2 linked regions of the Stegostoma tigrinum genome follow. The protein of the gene in region 1 purifies or fractionates together with the protein of each later gene. This does not show direct contact. Links are inferred from orthologs where the notes say so. Each region holds a gene or a part of one and is shown on either strand. Other genes may lie near its edges.

Region 1 (7,231 bases):
TTGCCTTCCTAAGTGTAGCAGCTTGAGCCACCTACTGGTAACATGCCTTCTACCCTGTCCTGTGACTTTTAAATTCTAACCATGAAATCAATGAAGGTAATCATTAATAATTCTCTTTTAGATAAATAAAAATGATCTATTATCTAATAGTATTGCTTTCAGGTGGAAAATAGTTTTCCCTTTCATTGAACAGCTTTGCATGCTGGAAGGACTTGTTTTAAAACAAAGTACATAGCTCATATTTTGAAAAAAGCTTTTAAATTTTATTTGTCAGAATTTAAATGAAACCTTGTACATGTAATTCTTATTGGTTAGTGCAAGATGCTGCATTCTGCCAAATAGAGTTGAAAATATAATTGACATAACACCTACAGGCATTTTGATTCAAGTTACTGTTGGTAAACGTACTTTGAGTCGGAGTCTTTATTTAATTAAACAGTAATGAGAAGTGATTGTTAAAAATGCTTATATTTAATTTTTTTTGTCAATCAAGATGAACAGCGATGCTAACTGATATCTTGAATTCTGTAATTTTTATAGGGAAAACGTGATGGGTGCTTGATAATGGTTTTCAGATTTACGTAACTATATCTGTTGTTTAAAAATGCTTTCATGGGATATGCTGTTGGAAGATAGGCTAGTTATGTTGTAGAGGATTTAAACTCACTTGTTGGGGGAAGGGATGCCAAGTGTAAATTTGGATAGAATAAAAGCGAAGGTAGCAATGGGAAGCAGAAATGCTATAACCAACAGTGGAAAGCAGCACAAACAAATCCTAGGTTCAAATTGCACAATAGTGTAAAAAGGCAGAATTAAAAGCAGTCTACCTGAATGCATGCAACATTCTCAACAAGATAGGTGAGCTGATGGCAGTAATAGGGTTAAAAGGGTATTATTTAATTGCCATTATGAACACCACGCTGTGGGGTAATCAAACCTTGGGAGACAAATGTTAAAGGATTGTCGAACTTCAGGAGGGATGGAAGGAGGTAATGGTAGCGGTGACCATGATGGACACGCTCAGTTTTTCAGTGAGAGAAGAGCATGGCATGGAATTTTGGTTCAAGCAAGACTCAGTAAACATAAGCAGGAGTGGTTAAACAGTTTTGGTATTGTAAGGCATGGTATAAATCGAGAAATTAGAGATGCTTGGAGGCAAGGGGAAGTGTTATCAAGGGTGACTTACATCAACATGTAGACTGGATAAATCTAATAAGTGTAAAGGTTGTGGCGGAGGAATTCCTGGAATTTGTTTGGGAGGGTCTCTGGATCAATGAGTTGAGGAACCAACTCAGGCATGGGCCATTTTAGATCTAGCATTATGGAGTGAAAATGAGCAAATGATGGTGAGGCAATAGCATGGTGGTAATCATAGAATCCCCACAGTGTGGAAGCAGACCATTTGATCCATTGAGTCCACATCGACCCTCTGAAGACCAGACCACCGCTTTTCTTTATCCCTGTAATCCTGCATTTCCCATAGCTAATCCATCTAGCATATCCCCTGGACACAATGGGCAATTTAGCATGACCAATCCACCTAACCTGCATGTCTTTGTACTGTTGGAGGAAACTGGATCACCCGGAGTAAAGCCACACAGACATGGGAATGTGAAAACTCCACATAGACAGTCGCCTGAGGGTGGAATCGAACCTGGGTCTCTGCTGTGAGGCAGAAGTGCTGCCCATCTAATAATCCTGAAATAGTAATCCAGAGCCCAGGCTTATATTCTGGATTCACATCATAGTATGGCAGATAGTGGAAATCTGAAATCCACAAAAAGTGGAATTAAAATTTAGCCTAATTGTGACCTATCCAATGTTACAGAAAACATTTGGCTCATTGACGACAGTTCTGGAAAGAAGCCTGCGATCCTTACCTGATCTGGCCTACCTGAAACTCCAGATCCACTGCAGTGTACTTGACTCTGAATTGCCCTCTGAGCAATTAGGAATGGGCAATAAGTGCTGTTCTCATCAGCAGCATTCACATCTCATGTTCGGATAATTTTTTAAGATCTTGTTTTAGAAGAGCCTTCAGGGAATAGTGACCATAGTATGATTGAATTTTCAAGTAGTTCAATTTGGGTGTAGGGTCTTTAAAAATAAACCTGGACAAATTTTGAAGGTATGAGGAAGAAGTTGCATATAGTGTATTGGAAAAAATAAATTAAAAGGTTTGGCAGTAAGTAAGCCATGGTAGTATTTAAGAAATTGATGCTTGGTTTTCAAACTAGTATGTATTTTACTTTGAAGGCAAGGGTTTTCTACAGGAAAAGCAGAGCGCTAAGAAGGGAAAGATGAGCCATGAGAATTATGGATCCATTACAGGCAGAGACAGGAGAATTTATAACGGGAAATTAAGAAATAGCAAAAAAGCTAAATAATAAAGTGTGAAGCTGGATGAACACAGCAGGCCAAGCAGCATCTCGGGAGCACAAAAGCTGACGTTTCGGGCCTAGACCCTTCATCAGAGAGCTCTCTGATGAAGGGACTAGGCCCGAAAAGTCAGCTTTTATGCTCCTAAGATGCCGCTTGGCCTGCTGTGTTCATCCAGCTTCACACTTTATTATCTCGAATTCTCCAGCATCTGCAGTTCCCATTATCACTGATACAAAAAGCTAAATAAGTACTTCCCTACATCTTCACGGTAGAAGATACAAGTGGTCTTTCTGAAATAATTAAATCTAGCAATCTAGTGCAAGTGTGAAACCAAAAAACAAATAAACCTATTAGGAAAGTTGCATTGGAGAAGTTAATGGAGCTGAAAGTTGAGAAATATCCAGGACCCAACTTGAGAGTTTAAAGCCCTGGCTGGAGAAATAGTGGATACACTGGTGGTCTTCTTTCAAAATTTGATTAATTCAACAAAAGTGCCTGAAGGTTGCAAATGTAACCCCATTGTTTAAGAAAGGAGCCTAAAAAGCAGGGAACATGATGACTTGTTAGCCTGATATTAGTTGTCAGGAACATATCAGGATTGTTATAAAGGATGTGATTAGAGGATCTTTAGAAAATATTTGTCTGAGTGGATAGAGTCCAAGTGGATTTATGAAGGTGAAAACATGTTTGGCTGCCAGTTAGTGTTTTGAGGATGTTACTAGTCCATAGCATAGTCATTTATTGCAGTGAAATGAAGAACTTCTTCGCCTGGAGGTTGGTGAATCTTTAAAATTCTCTAACTGAGGGGGCTGTGGAATTTCAGTCATTAAGTTCAAAGTAGACATTTACACATTTCTAGTTACTGATGATACCAAGAGAAGTCGGAATATTGCATGAATATGGCATTGAGATAGATGATCAGCCATTATCTGGAATGATGGAACAGGTTTGAGTGCCGAATGGCCTAATCCTGTTCTTGTGTGGGTATTGTCCAATCCCTAATAGATCTCGAAGATTTTAAATACTCTGGTTGTTTGGAATGGTTATAAGCCATCAGGCATGTTTCTAGTTTAAAGCAACAAAGGATTGTTTTGAGATTTGAGTAGTAGGCAAGTTCAGTGTGGTCAACTTTGACGTATCAACCTTGTAGAAATTGTGTCTTGGATGTAACCGCTATTCTGTATTTTGAAGTTGAGCATTTTAGACTTTCTGTAAACAGTATTTTAAAAGAAAATGGGTTAAAATTGTATCTTTTGTGGTCTCTAGCCCAAATAATGGCAATTGGTGCACAAAGTAAGTTGGACATCTGTGAAAGCCCTCTACGATCTTGGGTGATCATCATTATTATATACTTTAATATCTAATAATAATGTGTGTGAGTGTTACAGATTGATTATTTATTCTGTACAAGTTAAAGAACGTGTAACCAAATGATAGTATTGAATGTTATGTGGTATGTCCCACTATCTAAATAGTTTCCAATTATCTAGACTAGTAATTCTAAAGTTTTCGCTGGAGTAAATTATCATGTGCATGTTTTTTTCTGACTTGCAGAAGTTTTACACATAAGCGTAATAATGTGCTTGAATCTTAAGTCCTGACCAGGAGTAGATTTTCAGCAGGGATCAGACTGAGAGATAATTATCAAGTGGTACCAATAGGTTTTGTGTCAAATATATGTAACAGTACTCTGCAGGGTTAATACTTGAGAATGGTGTTTAATGTTTTGTGTTGTATCATTCATAGACAGAATCTGATCATAAAATATTTAAGCAGTGTAAATCTGATTGTAACTCTGCTTAAAATTGAAAAAAATGGTTTCTTTCTGTTTGTTTTACAGTTCAATACCAAATGGAAATGATGAGAAGCTTGCGTCATGTTAACATAGACCACCTCCATGTTGGCTGGTACCAGTCAACCTACTATGGCTCTTTCGTCAGTCGAGCTTTGTTGGACTCCCAGTTTAGTTACCAACACGCAATTGAAGAGTCTGTGGTCCTCATCTATGGTCAGTGACGTTTTCCTATTCATTTCTACTTCACTGTTTACCTGGCAGTGCTGCCTGGCAGTCCCTCTCAGTAAATACCAGCCCAGTGTCTGCCTCAGCCCCAGCAGCAGCTCAGTCTAGACAGGGTTTCCTTCTTTCTGTTTATTTTTCTTGCTATCAGAGCCCTGATGTGTACATTCTGGAATGCTGAAGTTGCTGCTTCAATTTTTTTTCATTCCTCTTCCCCCTTGTTGATGGCGGGTGGAACAGGACCAGATGTCTAACAAAAACTGATTGCTTGAGTCTGGCTCAGTACGTGACCTTACAGTTATGACACATTTTGCCAGATTGCACCTCTGACAGGCGCTCACAAAACGTAGACTGTTCTTAGCACAAAGATTTTCTTTTTTCTGCCCATTTAGTGGCGTTTCCTTTACTCACTAAACCAGATGTTCTGTGCAGTATCATAGCTGTAGGTAAAACATCTTTATTGCCTTCCCCAAGCTCACTATTTGCCATAGCTGGCAGGCTGTTACAAAGTTTCCAACCGAGAAGTAAATGTTACATCCTGAATATCTGTCAGAAAAAATACTAATGAGCACGATTAATCTTTGGGTAACACAAAAATTGTTTCAGTATGTTAACAATCGGATTACAGTTGAAAAGCTGTTAAAATATACTTTATTCATTGGAATTTTTTTACCATTTCCTCCTGAATTTTCCATTTTTATCAAATTTTCTGTTCTACATAATTACTTATATGTAGGAATTTGTTTTGTTTCTCTTTCTGTACAGTTTTCCATTTATTTGAAAATATTTAATAAGTTACTTCAAGCTTGGCTAATATAATTAATATGGAACTAAAACCCATGTACCTTGAAAATGGTGCTATTGAAATGTGACTAAACCCAAATCTTTTGTCAGAAGAAAACTGCATCAGTTTCATCTCTTCAGGCACAAAATGAAATTATGTTAAGTAACTAGATTTCTCTATGCATTTTGATTGACAATATTCAGATTTTTATATCTAGGTTAAAACTACACTTGGTTTGAAATCTATCCAATGCACCCAATAAGTCAGCACAGTTTGCTAGACAAGAATAGGAGCAACAATTTTCCACACCATGCATTTTGAGTAAATAGCAAGTTAAGGAAACTGGAGTTACCACACATTACTCTTCGATAACTCCCTATAGGTCGTCTGTCTGTATTTCCTATTTCGAGAATACTGCTTACTGCTGATTGGACAAAAGCCAGATTTGTCACTTGCAAGACATTTGTAGATAATACATTCACTTTGAATGTTTGGTCGTGCGAGATTCTTCGTTTTTTTTCCACATTTTCTGGACACTATGTCATCTTTAAGCATTCCCAGGTTTGTCTGATTTTAGTACGATTTAAATAGAACTTAAAGTTCTCTTTACTCTGTCCCAGCAGTGTACCTTGCACTGCCTTCGAGTACCAGTTTTCCGTTCTCCTCAAATGTAGATGTTTGAGAATGAGAATCAGGTTCTCTTTCCCAAGGTGGTCATTTTCTTCAGATGCATTTCAGCTTATAGTTCCAGAAAATGTCTGGAGTTTGACTTGACTGATCAGTAATATAAAATGTAACACCTGGATACTTGGTATTCTACCTAAGCAACTTACTCCATCAGTGATAATGGGAACTGCAGATGCTGGAGATTCCAAGATAATAAAATGTGAGGCTGGATGAACACAGCAGGCCAAGCAGCATCTCAGGAGCACAAAAGCTGACGTTTCGGGCCTAGACCCATCAGTGCATGAGTTCATATTTAGATAAAGTTTATTTTTCCAAACAAGTATAGAGGGCTCACTGTGACGAGGTGTAGGCTCCTTTTATGCAACGTTTTTATCCATTTATGAAATGTGGATGTGGTTAGCAACACTAGTTATTGTGTGATTAAGATACTCCCAAAGTGATGTTTGTATGGGGTTACAGAGAGGTGTTCCAGGATTTGGGCTCAATAACAATGAAGAAATAGTATTTATTTTTAAGTGAGTATTGCATAAGACTTGGAAGAAAATGTGGAACCGGTGATGTCACAATGCGACTGTTGCCTTTGTAGTGATAGATTTTGACAATGATGTTGATTGAAGATGTATTGGCAAGATACTGCGTCAAGATTTTGCGCTTCAGATGTGCTGGGGGTGAAGGCAATTATATTTAAGTCATGGGTGAATGCCAGTCTTTTTGGCTATCGTTGATATTTTACTAATCAGGCATGGGGACAGTATCCTATCATGTACTGACGAGCTAATTTATGTTTATTCCTTAGCTTCACCAGAATGCATTATCTGGTTGTACTTTGTTCTGTGGAAGTAGCCTTTTGCAATTCCTGTTTTTCAAGTAAGTGTTTTGGCATGTGCTGATGTTGGAAAAGCACTATATAAATGCATCTTGCCTTTTTTGTGCCTTGTTGATAATGGACATATTTTGGGGAGACAGTATTGGCAGGCCCAGTTATCTTTCTGGTTAATGGTGTAAATTAAGGTGTTGTCGGCATTCGAATGCTGGAAATACTGCTAGATGTTGTAAGGAAATCGTTCATTCTCTTGTTGGAGATAGTCATTGTCTGTCATAGGTCCAGCATGCATGTTGCTTGCCACTTGTTAACCAAGTCTAAGTCTTGTCCTGGTCTGATTGCATTTTGGCATAATTTTACTTGTGATTTGACTAGATGAATGACATTGTTCAATTTCCAATCATCTGCAGACATCCTAATTTCTTGGTTGGGCATAGGACACTGAAGTGAAAAATACAAGCAGTGATATTCCTGGACTTGGACTGAAACATTTGGTCTGCAACCACAATCATCTTCCTTTTGTGCGAGAGTTGACTCT
Region 2 (7,802 bases), on another chromosome or scaffold:
GTAATTACAGATACAGGGGGGTACGGTAATTACAGATACAGGGGGGTACGGTAATCACAGATACAGTGGGGTACGGTAATTACAGATACAGGGGGGTACGGTAATCACAGATACAGGGGGGTACGGTAATTACAGATACAGTGGGGTACGGTAATTACAGATACAGGGGGGTACGGTAATCACAGATACAGGGGGGTACGGTAATTACAGATACAGTGGGGTACGGTAATTACAGATACAGAGGGGTACGGTAATTACAGATACAGTGGGGTACGGTAATTACAGATACAGAGGGGTACGGTAATCACAGATACAGGGGGTACGGTAATTACAGATACAGGGGGGTACGGTAATTACAGATACAGTGGGGTACGGTAATTACAGATACAGGGGGGTACGGTAATTACAGATACAGAGGGGTACGGTAATTACAGATACAGAGGGTACGGTAATTACAGATACAGGGGGGTACGGTAATCACAGATACAGGGGGTACGGTAATTACAGATACAGGGGGTACGGTAATTACAGATACAGTGGGGGACGGTAATTACAGATACAGGGGGGGACGGTAATTGCAGATACAGGAGGGTACGGTAATTACAGATACAGAGGGTACGGTAATTACAGATACAGGGGGGGACGGTAATTGCAGATACAGGGGGGTACGGTAATTACAGATACAGAGGGTACGGTAATTACAGATACAGGGGGGTACGGTAATCACAGATACAGGGGGTACGGTAATTACAGATACAGGGGGTACGGTAATTACAGATACAGTGGGGGACGGTAATTACAGATACAGTGGGGGACGGTAATTGCAGATACAGGAGGGTACGGTAATTACAGATACAGGAGGGTACGGTAATTACAGATACAGGGGGGGACGGTAATTGCAGATACAGGAGGGTACGGTAATTACAGATACAGTGGGGGACGGTAATTACAGATACAGTGGGGGACGGTAATTGCAGATACAGGAGGGTACGGTAATTACAGATACAGGGGGGGACGGTAATTGCAGATACAGGAGGGTACGGTAATTACAGATACAGTGGGGGACGGTAATTACAGATACAGTGGGGGACGGTAATTGCAGATACAGGAGGGTACGGTAATTACAGATACAGGGGGGGACGGTAATTGCAGATACAGGAGGGTACGGTAATTACAGATACAGGGGGGTACGGTAATTACAGATACAGGGGGGTACGGTAATTACAGATACAGTGGGGTACGGTAATCACAGATACAGCACATTCTCCAAACCAGCAGTCTTAAGGAATCTGCTGAAACCACCCACTCCCGCCATTCTCCGTCCTGAGTTGAAGCTGCAGGAGGGGAACGCGAATGCTGTGGGGTTTTACACCGCAGCGTGGGAATGTGGAATTGATGTTCGAGAGTGATGACAATATGCTGGACAGGCAACACAATGAGCAGAAATAAAATGTCCTCAAGGTAACGCCAGGTCAGGCCACTGTGCAGCATGAACAAGTTGAACATAAAGACGTTTTTGCTGCACTAACGTGGTTTTCTTTGAGATTTTCTTTTCCACCCACACGTCTCCAGGAAAAGCTGGGTACGGGGGAGAGAGCCAACTATCTCATCGTGTGCGTACATGGAACAAGCTGCAACAGGATGTGACAGAGGTGGATACAAATAGTACATTTAAAAGGCATTTGGACAGGTACATGGAAAGGGAGCCAAATGCATGCAAACAGGACTAGGACAGTTTTGGAAACCAAGTCGGCATGGACAGGTTGGGATGAAGGGCCTGTTTCTGTGCTGCTATGACTCCCCTAAACATGATTCTGTGGGCAAATGCCTTACGATTGGCCTTGCTGTTTTACTGTCAAAGAAAAATACTTTAGACGCTGCAAACTTGAAATAAAAACAGAACGTTTAAATCTGGTGGTCTCTCTGGTAAGGGAAATGCAGTAAATACGTTGATTCGAGTATAATCATTTTTGAGGAAGGATTCCGAACCGTGGTCAAAACACACTTTCCAGTTTGCATCACTGCCGAAGATATAATCTGTGATTTAAGGAATGCATAGTTTCTAATCGTTACTCAACATCAATAATAAAAGCTGTTTTCAGTTTGAAATATCCGATCAATGCAGCAGATAGCGTGACCATTACATGCTCCACTGAGAAAGGCTGCAGGAACTTGCCATGTTTACTGTCATACTGATAACAACAAGACATTTCTGTTTCTTTTTAATTCTCTCTGCTCTTTGCAAGGATGCTTGCAAACCCTTATCCTTCTTGAATGCCCCAGGATCATTTAAACATGTTAAAAGATCCACAATAAATGCAACATGTTGGAAATTTTAAGAGTTTTCTTAAACAGTTCTGTGATCGGGCTTCACTTTTTGGCCTTGCAGCATCGGGAACAGAAACAGGAACAGGCCACTCATCCCGCAAGTCTGTTCTGCCATTCAGTCAGATGGTACCTGCTCTTTACCGATCATTGGTCCAGATTTACAATTACACAATATTCTATCAATCCCAGACTGAAATCTCCAACTGAAACCAGATCTCCATCTGAGTTCCAGATGTTCCCTATTCTTTGTGTGAACAGGGATGTGTTTCCTGGTTTCACTCCTAATCAAGCATATCTTCCTCAATCCAGGATCTCACAGAAATTCTCAAAATACAAGCAAAAGAACGTGGCTGCTGGAAATCTGCTTAGAACCGTAAGAAACCACGGGAAGTTGTGGGTACAGCTCACACCATCACACAAGCCAACCTCCCATTCATGAACTCCATTGACACTTCTTGTTGCCATGGAAAGGCTGTGAACGTTGTCAAAGACCCCTCCCGCCCCAGTGATAATCTCTTCTCAACCTCCTCTGTCAGGCAGAAGATAATAGCAGCTTAAACATATGTACCAACAGGTTCAAGAACTGCTTCTTCCCTGCGGTTATCAGACTGCTGAATGAACCTCTCCCATTTCAAATAATGTTAGTCTTGCTTTGCGCACCTTCTGAGCAGTATACGCTGTATGTCTCACTCTGTCTGAGCACCCTGCCATCTGTATGCATCAAAGGAGCAGCAAGGTTGACTTTTTAGGTGTGGGGCCTTCTTCAGAAGAAAGTTTTCTGAAGAAGGGTCCCGACCGGAAATGTCTTCTTTCCTGCTCCTCTGATGCTGCCTGGCTCGCAGTGTTCATCCATTTCTATACCTTGTTATCTCAGGCTCCAACATCAGCAGTTCTCACTATCTCTGTGATCTATATGTCCTTGTTTGCTATGACCTACCTGTACTGCTCGCAAAACAAAGCTTTTCACTGTACTCAGGCACATGTGACAATAAACCAAATCAAATGAAAAAGATTCTGGGTAATTCAACATGGAGGATGGGGAAAATTTGTGGCTGTAGGAGCTGCTCCTTTTGAGGTATTTTCAGTGGTGAAGATGGTTTCCTTGATTTTTTGGAGAAGTAATTACTGTCTTTTGAGCAGTCACGTTGTTTTGAAACTTTGGAAGAAAAAGTCAAAACAACAGCACTTTAAAAAGGAGGAAGGCAGACAAAGTAGAGACCACATGGGGAAGTGAAAAGAAATCAGCAGTGAACCTGCACAGCTGACTGTGTCTTTTGTTTAGTAACAAGTGTGTCTGGATAACTGAGTTCCTGAGAATAATGAAGGAACAGTGAAAGTGATGGAGACTGGTACAATTACAACATTTAAAAGGCATCTGGCTCATTATATGAATAGGAAGGGTTTGAAAGGTTGTAGGCCAAATGCTGGCAAATGGGACTAGATTAATTTAGGATATCTTGTCAGTATGGTTGAGTTGGACAAAATTAATGAGGCAGCACGTCGCTCAGTGGTCAGCACCGCAGCTTCACAGCACCAGGGACCCGGGTTCAATTCCAGCCTCGGGTGACTGTGTGGAGTTTGCACGTTCTCCCCATGTCTGCATAGGTTTCCTCCGGGTGCTCCGGTTTCCTCCCACAGTCCAAAGATGTGCAGTTTAGGTCGATTGGCTGTGCTAAATTGCCCGTAGTGTTCAGGGATGGGTCCGGGGGCGTGGGTGGATAATATTCTGAGGGTTGGTGTGGACGTGAGGGAGGCAGAGAAGGCTGGGCTGGTTTTGGGAGCCCAGCTCTTCCCCTCCACCCACTGCATCCCAAAACCAGCCCAGCCTGTCTCTGCCTCCCTAACCTCTTCTTCCTCTCACCTATCCCTTCCTCCCACCCCAAGCCACACCTCCATTTCCTACCTCCTTGACCTGTCCGTCTTCCCTGGACTGATCTATCCCCTCCCTCCCTCCCCACCTATACTCTCCTCTCCACCTATCTTCTCCTCTATCCATCTTCGGTCCGCCTCCCCCCTCTCTCCCTATTTATTCCAGTTCCCTCACCCCATCCCCCTCTCTGATGAAGGGTCTAGGCCCGAAACGTCAGCTTTTGTGCTCCTGAGATGCTGCTTGGCCTGCTGTGTTCATCCAGCCTCACATTTTATTATCTTGGATTCTCCAGCGTCTGCAGTTCCCATTATCCCTGCATCTTGTTATCTCTCATATGCCGACGGGCGCTGTTTTGTATGGTTATTCAGTCCGTCCAGCCTGCAGGTGGCGCTGTATTGGGAGGTCACTGTGTCCGCCCAGCCTGAGGGTGGCACTGTGCAGGGAGGTGTCAGTGTCTGCTCAGCCTCCGGGTGGCGCTGGTTTGGGAGGTCGCAGCCTCTGCCCAGCCTTTTGATGGCGCAGTTTTGGGAGGTCACTGCACCTGCCCAGCCTCCGGGTGGCGCTGTGTTGGGCGGTTACTGTAGCTGCCCAGCCGCCGGGTGGCGATGTTTTGGGAGGCCACCGTATCCGCCCAGCCTGCGGCCTATCTCCGGCTCTCTGGATGCGCCCGGTTCCGGTTCACTATGGATTTCGAGTGAGTGCGGGGCTTGGGCTCGGAAACCCTAGGAGAGGGTGTGAGTTACTCGCGGAGCCGCCAGTCTCTCCGTCGCTAACCGGAACGTGTTTTGTTTCTCTCTGCCCCGCAGCTCGAAGCCCAGCTGGGCCGACCAGGTGGAGGAGGAGGGAGACGAGGGTAAGGAACAGGCCTCAGGCCGGGCCCCACACGTGGGCCGGGTCCCAGCTACCGCCGCCGGGGCAGCTCCCGCTGAAAATAATCGGGATCCTGGGTCACGAGCATTACCGCCCGTCCCTTCCGGAGATTGGGGGGGGGGCGGTAGTGTGCAGCGGGAACGGGGCGTGTGTGGGGAGAGTTGGGGGTTGGGGGCGTGGGGGGGAGAGTGGGGGCGGAGGGGGAGTATGTTGGGGGGGAGAGTCGGGGGGGAGGGGGAGTATGTGGGGGGGGAGAGTCGGGGGTGGAACGGAGTATGTGGGGGGGGAGTCGGGGGGAGGGGGAGTATGTTGGGGGGGAGAGTCGGGGGGGAGGGGGAGTATGTGGGGGGGGAGAGTCGGGGGTGGAACGGAGTATGTGGGGGGGGAGAGTGGGGGCGGAGGGGGAGTATGTTGGGGGGGAGAGTCGGGGGGGAGGGGGAGTATGTGGGGGGGGAGAGTCGGGGGTGGAACGGAGTATGTGGGGGGGGAGTCGGGGGGAGGGGGAGTATGTTGGGGGGGAGAGTCGGGGGGGAGGGGGAGTATGTTGGGGGGGAGAGTCGGGGGGGAGGGGGAGTATGTTGGGGGGGAGAGTCGGGGGGGAGGGGGAGTATGTTGGGGGGGAGAGTCGGGGGGGAGGGGGAGTATGTTGGGGGGGAGAGTCGGGGGGGAGGGGGAGTATGTTGGGGGGGAGAGTCGGGGGGGAGGGGGAGTATGTGGGGGGGGGAGGGGGAGTATGTGGGGGGGAGAGTCGGGGAGGAGGGGGAGTATGTGGGGGGGAGAGTCGGGGAGGAGGGGGAGTATGTGGGGGGGAGAGTCGGGGAGGAGGGGGAGTATGTGGGGGGGAGAGTCGGGGAGGAGGGGGAGTATGTGGGGGGAGAGTCGGGGAGGAGGGGGAGTATGTGGGGGGAGAGTCGGGGAGGAGGGGGAGTATGTGGGGGGGGAGTCGGGGGGGAGGGGGAGTATGTGGGGGGGAGACGGAGTATGTGGGGGGGGAGTCGGGGGGAGGGGGAGTATGTGGGGGGGAGACGGAGTATGTGGGGGGGAGTCGGGGGGGAGGGGGAGTATGTGGGGGGGGAGAGTAGGGGGGAGGGGGAGTATGTGGGGGGGGACGGAGTATGTGGGGGGGAGTCGGGGGGGAGGGGGAGTATGTGGGGGGGAGAGTCGGGGGGGAGGGGGAGAGTCGGGGGGGGGAGAGTCGGGGGGAGGGGGAGTATGTGGGGGGGGGAGTATGTGGGGGGGGGAGTCGGGGGGGAGGGGGAGTATGTGGGGGGGGAGAGTCGGGGGGAGGGGGAGAGTCGGGGGGGAGGGGGAGTATGTGGGGGGGGAGAGTCGGGGGGGAGGGGGAGTATGTGGGGGGGGAGAGTCGGGGGGAGGGGGAGTATGTGGGGGGGGAGAGTCGGGGGGGAGGGGGAGTATGTGGGGGGGAGAGTCGGGGGGAGGGGGAGTATGTGGGGGGGGAGAGTCGGGGGGGAGTATGTGGGGGGGGAGAGTCGGGGGGGAGGGGGAGTATGTGGGGGGGGAGAGTCGGGCGGGAGGGGGAGTATGTGGGGGGGGGGAGTCGGGGGGGGAGGGGGAGTATGTGGGGGGGGAGTCGGGGGGGAGGGGGAGTATGTGGGGGGGGGAGTCGGGGGGAGGGGGAGTATGTGGGGGGGGAGTCGGGGGGGAGGGGGAGTATGTGGGGGGGGGGAGTCGGGGTGAGGGGGAGTATGTGGGGGGGGGGAGTCGGGGTGAGGGGGAGTATGTGGGGGGGGGAGTCGGGGTGAGGGGGAGTATGTGGGGGGGGGAGTCGGGGTGAGGGGGAGTATGTGGGGGGGGGAGTCGGGGTGAGGGGGAGTATGTGGGGGGGGAGTCGGGGTGAGGGGGAGTATGTGGGGGGGGGAGTCGGGGGGGAGGGGGAGTATGTGGGGGGGGAGAGTCGGGGGGGAGGGAGAGTCGGGGGGAGGGGGAGTATGTGGGGGGGGGAGGGGGAGTATGTGGGGGGGGAGAGTCGGGGGGGAGGGAGAGTCGGGGGGAGGGGGAGTATGTGGGGGGGGGAGGGGGAGTATGTGGGGGGGGGAGAGTCGGGGGGGGAGGGGGAGTATGTGGGGGGGGGAGAGTCGGGGGGGAGGGGGAGTATGTGGGGGGGGAGAGTCGGGGGGAGGGGGAGTATGTGGGGGGGGGAGGGGGAGTATGTGGGGGGGGGGAGAGTCGGGGGGGAGGGGGAGTATGTGGGGGGGGGGAGAGTCGGGGGGGAGGGGGAGTATGTGGGGGGGGGAGAGTCGGGGGGAGGGGGAGTATGTGGGGGGGGAGAGTCGGGGACGGAACGGAGAATGTGAGGGGGGGACGGAGTATGTGGGGGGGGAGTCGGGGGGAGAGATGTGGGGGAGGGGGGAGTATGTTGGGGGGAGGGGGAGTATGTTGGGGGGGAGAGTGGGGGGAGAGGAGTAGTATGTTGGGGTGGAGAGTGGGGGGAGAGGAGTAGTATGTTGGGGGGGAGAGTCGGGGCAGGAGGGTGAGTATGTGGGGGGGAGAGTCGGGGGGGAGGGGGAGTATGTGGGGGGGGAGAGTCGGGGGGGAGGGGGAGTATGTGGGAGGGGAGAGTCGGGGGCGGAACGGAGAATGTGGGGGGGAGTCGGGGGGAGGGGGAGTATGTGGGGGGAGGACGGAGTATGTGGGGGGGAGTATGTGAGGGGGGACGGAGTATGTCGGGGGGAGAGATGTGGGGGAGGGGGAGTATGTTGGGGGGAGGGGGAGT

What was found. The genes of interacting proteins can lie anywhere in the genome.
Region 2: the proteins of eif3hb (region 1) and eif3g purify together in Homo sapiens (affinity purification with mass spectrometry; 8 studies listed by BioGRID and IntAct, counting the BioPlex papers as one, with this or other methods). This does not show direct contact. The link is inferred for Stegostoma tigrinum from reciprocal best matches to the Homo sapiens genes EIF3H and EIF3G.

The regions. Positions count from the first base shown.
Region 1 is NC_081358.1:13,622,874-13,630,104, forward strand, and holds the start of eif3hb (eukaryotic translation initiation factor 3 subunit H-B), read left to right. Parts: upstream 1-4,227; 5' UTR 4,228-4,233; coding exon 4,234-4,390; intron 4,391-7,231.
Region 2 is NC_081388.1:22,375,189-22,382,990, reverse strand, and holds the start of eif3g (eukaryotic translation initiation factor 3 subunit G), read left to right. Parts: upstream 1-4,790; 5' UTR 4,791-4,803; coding exon 4,804-4,892; intron 4,893-5,004; coding exon 5,005-5,051; intron 5,052-7,802. UniProt on the Homo sapiens protein: RNA-binding component of the eukaryotic translation initiation factor 3 (eIF-3) complex, which is required for several steps in the initiation of protein synthesis.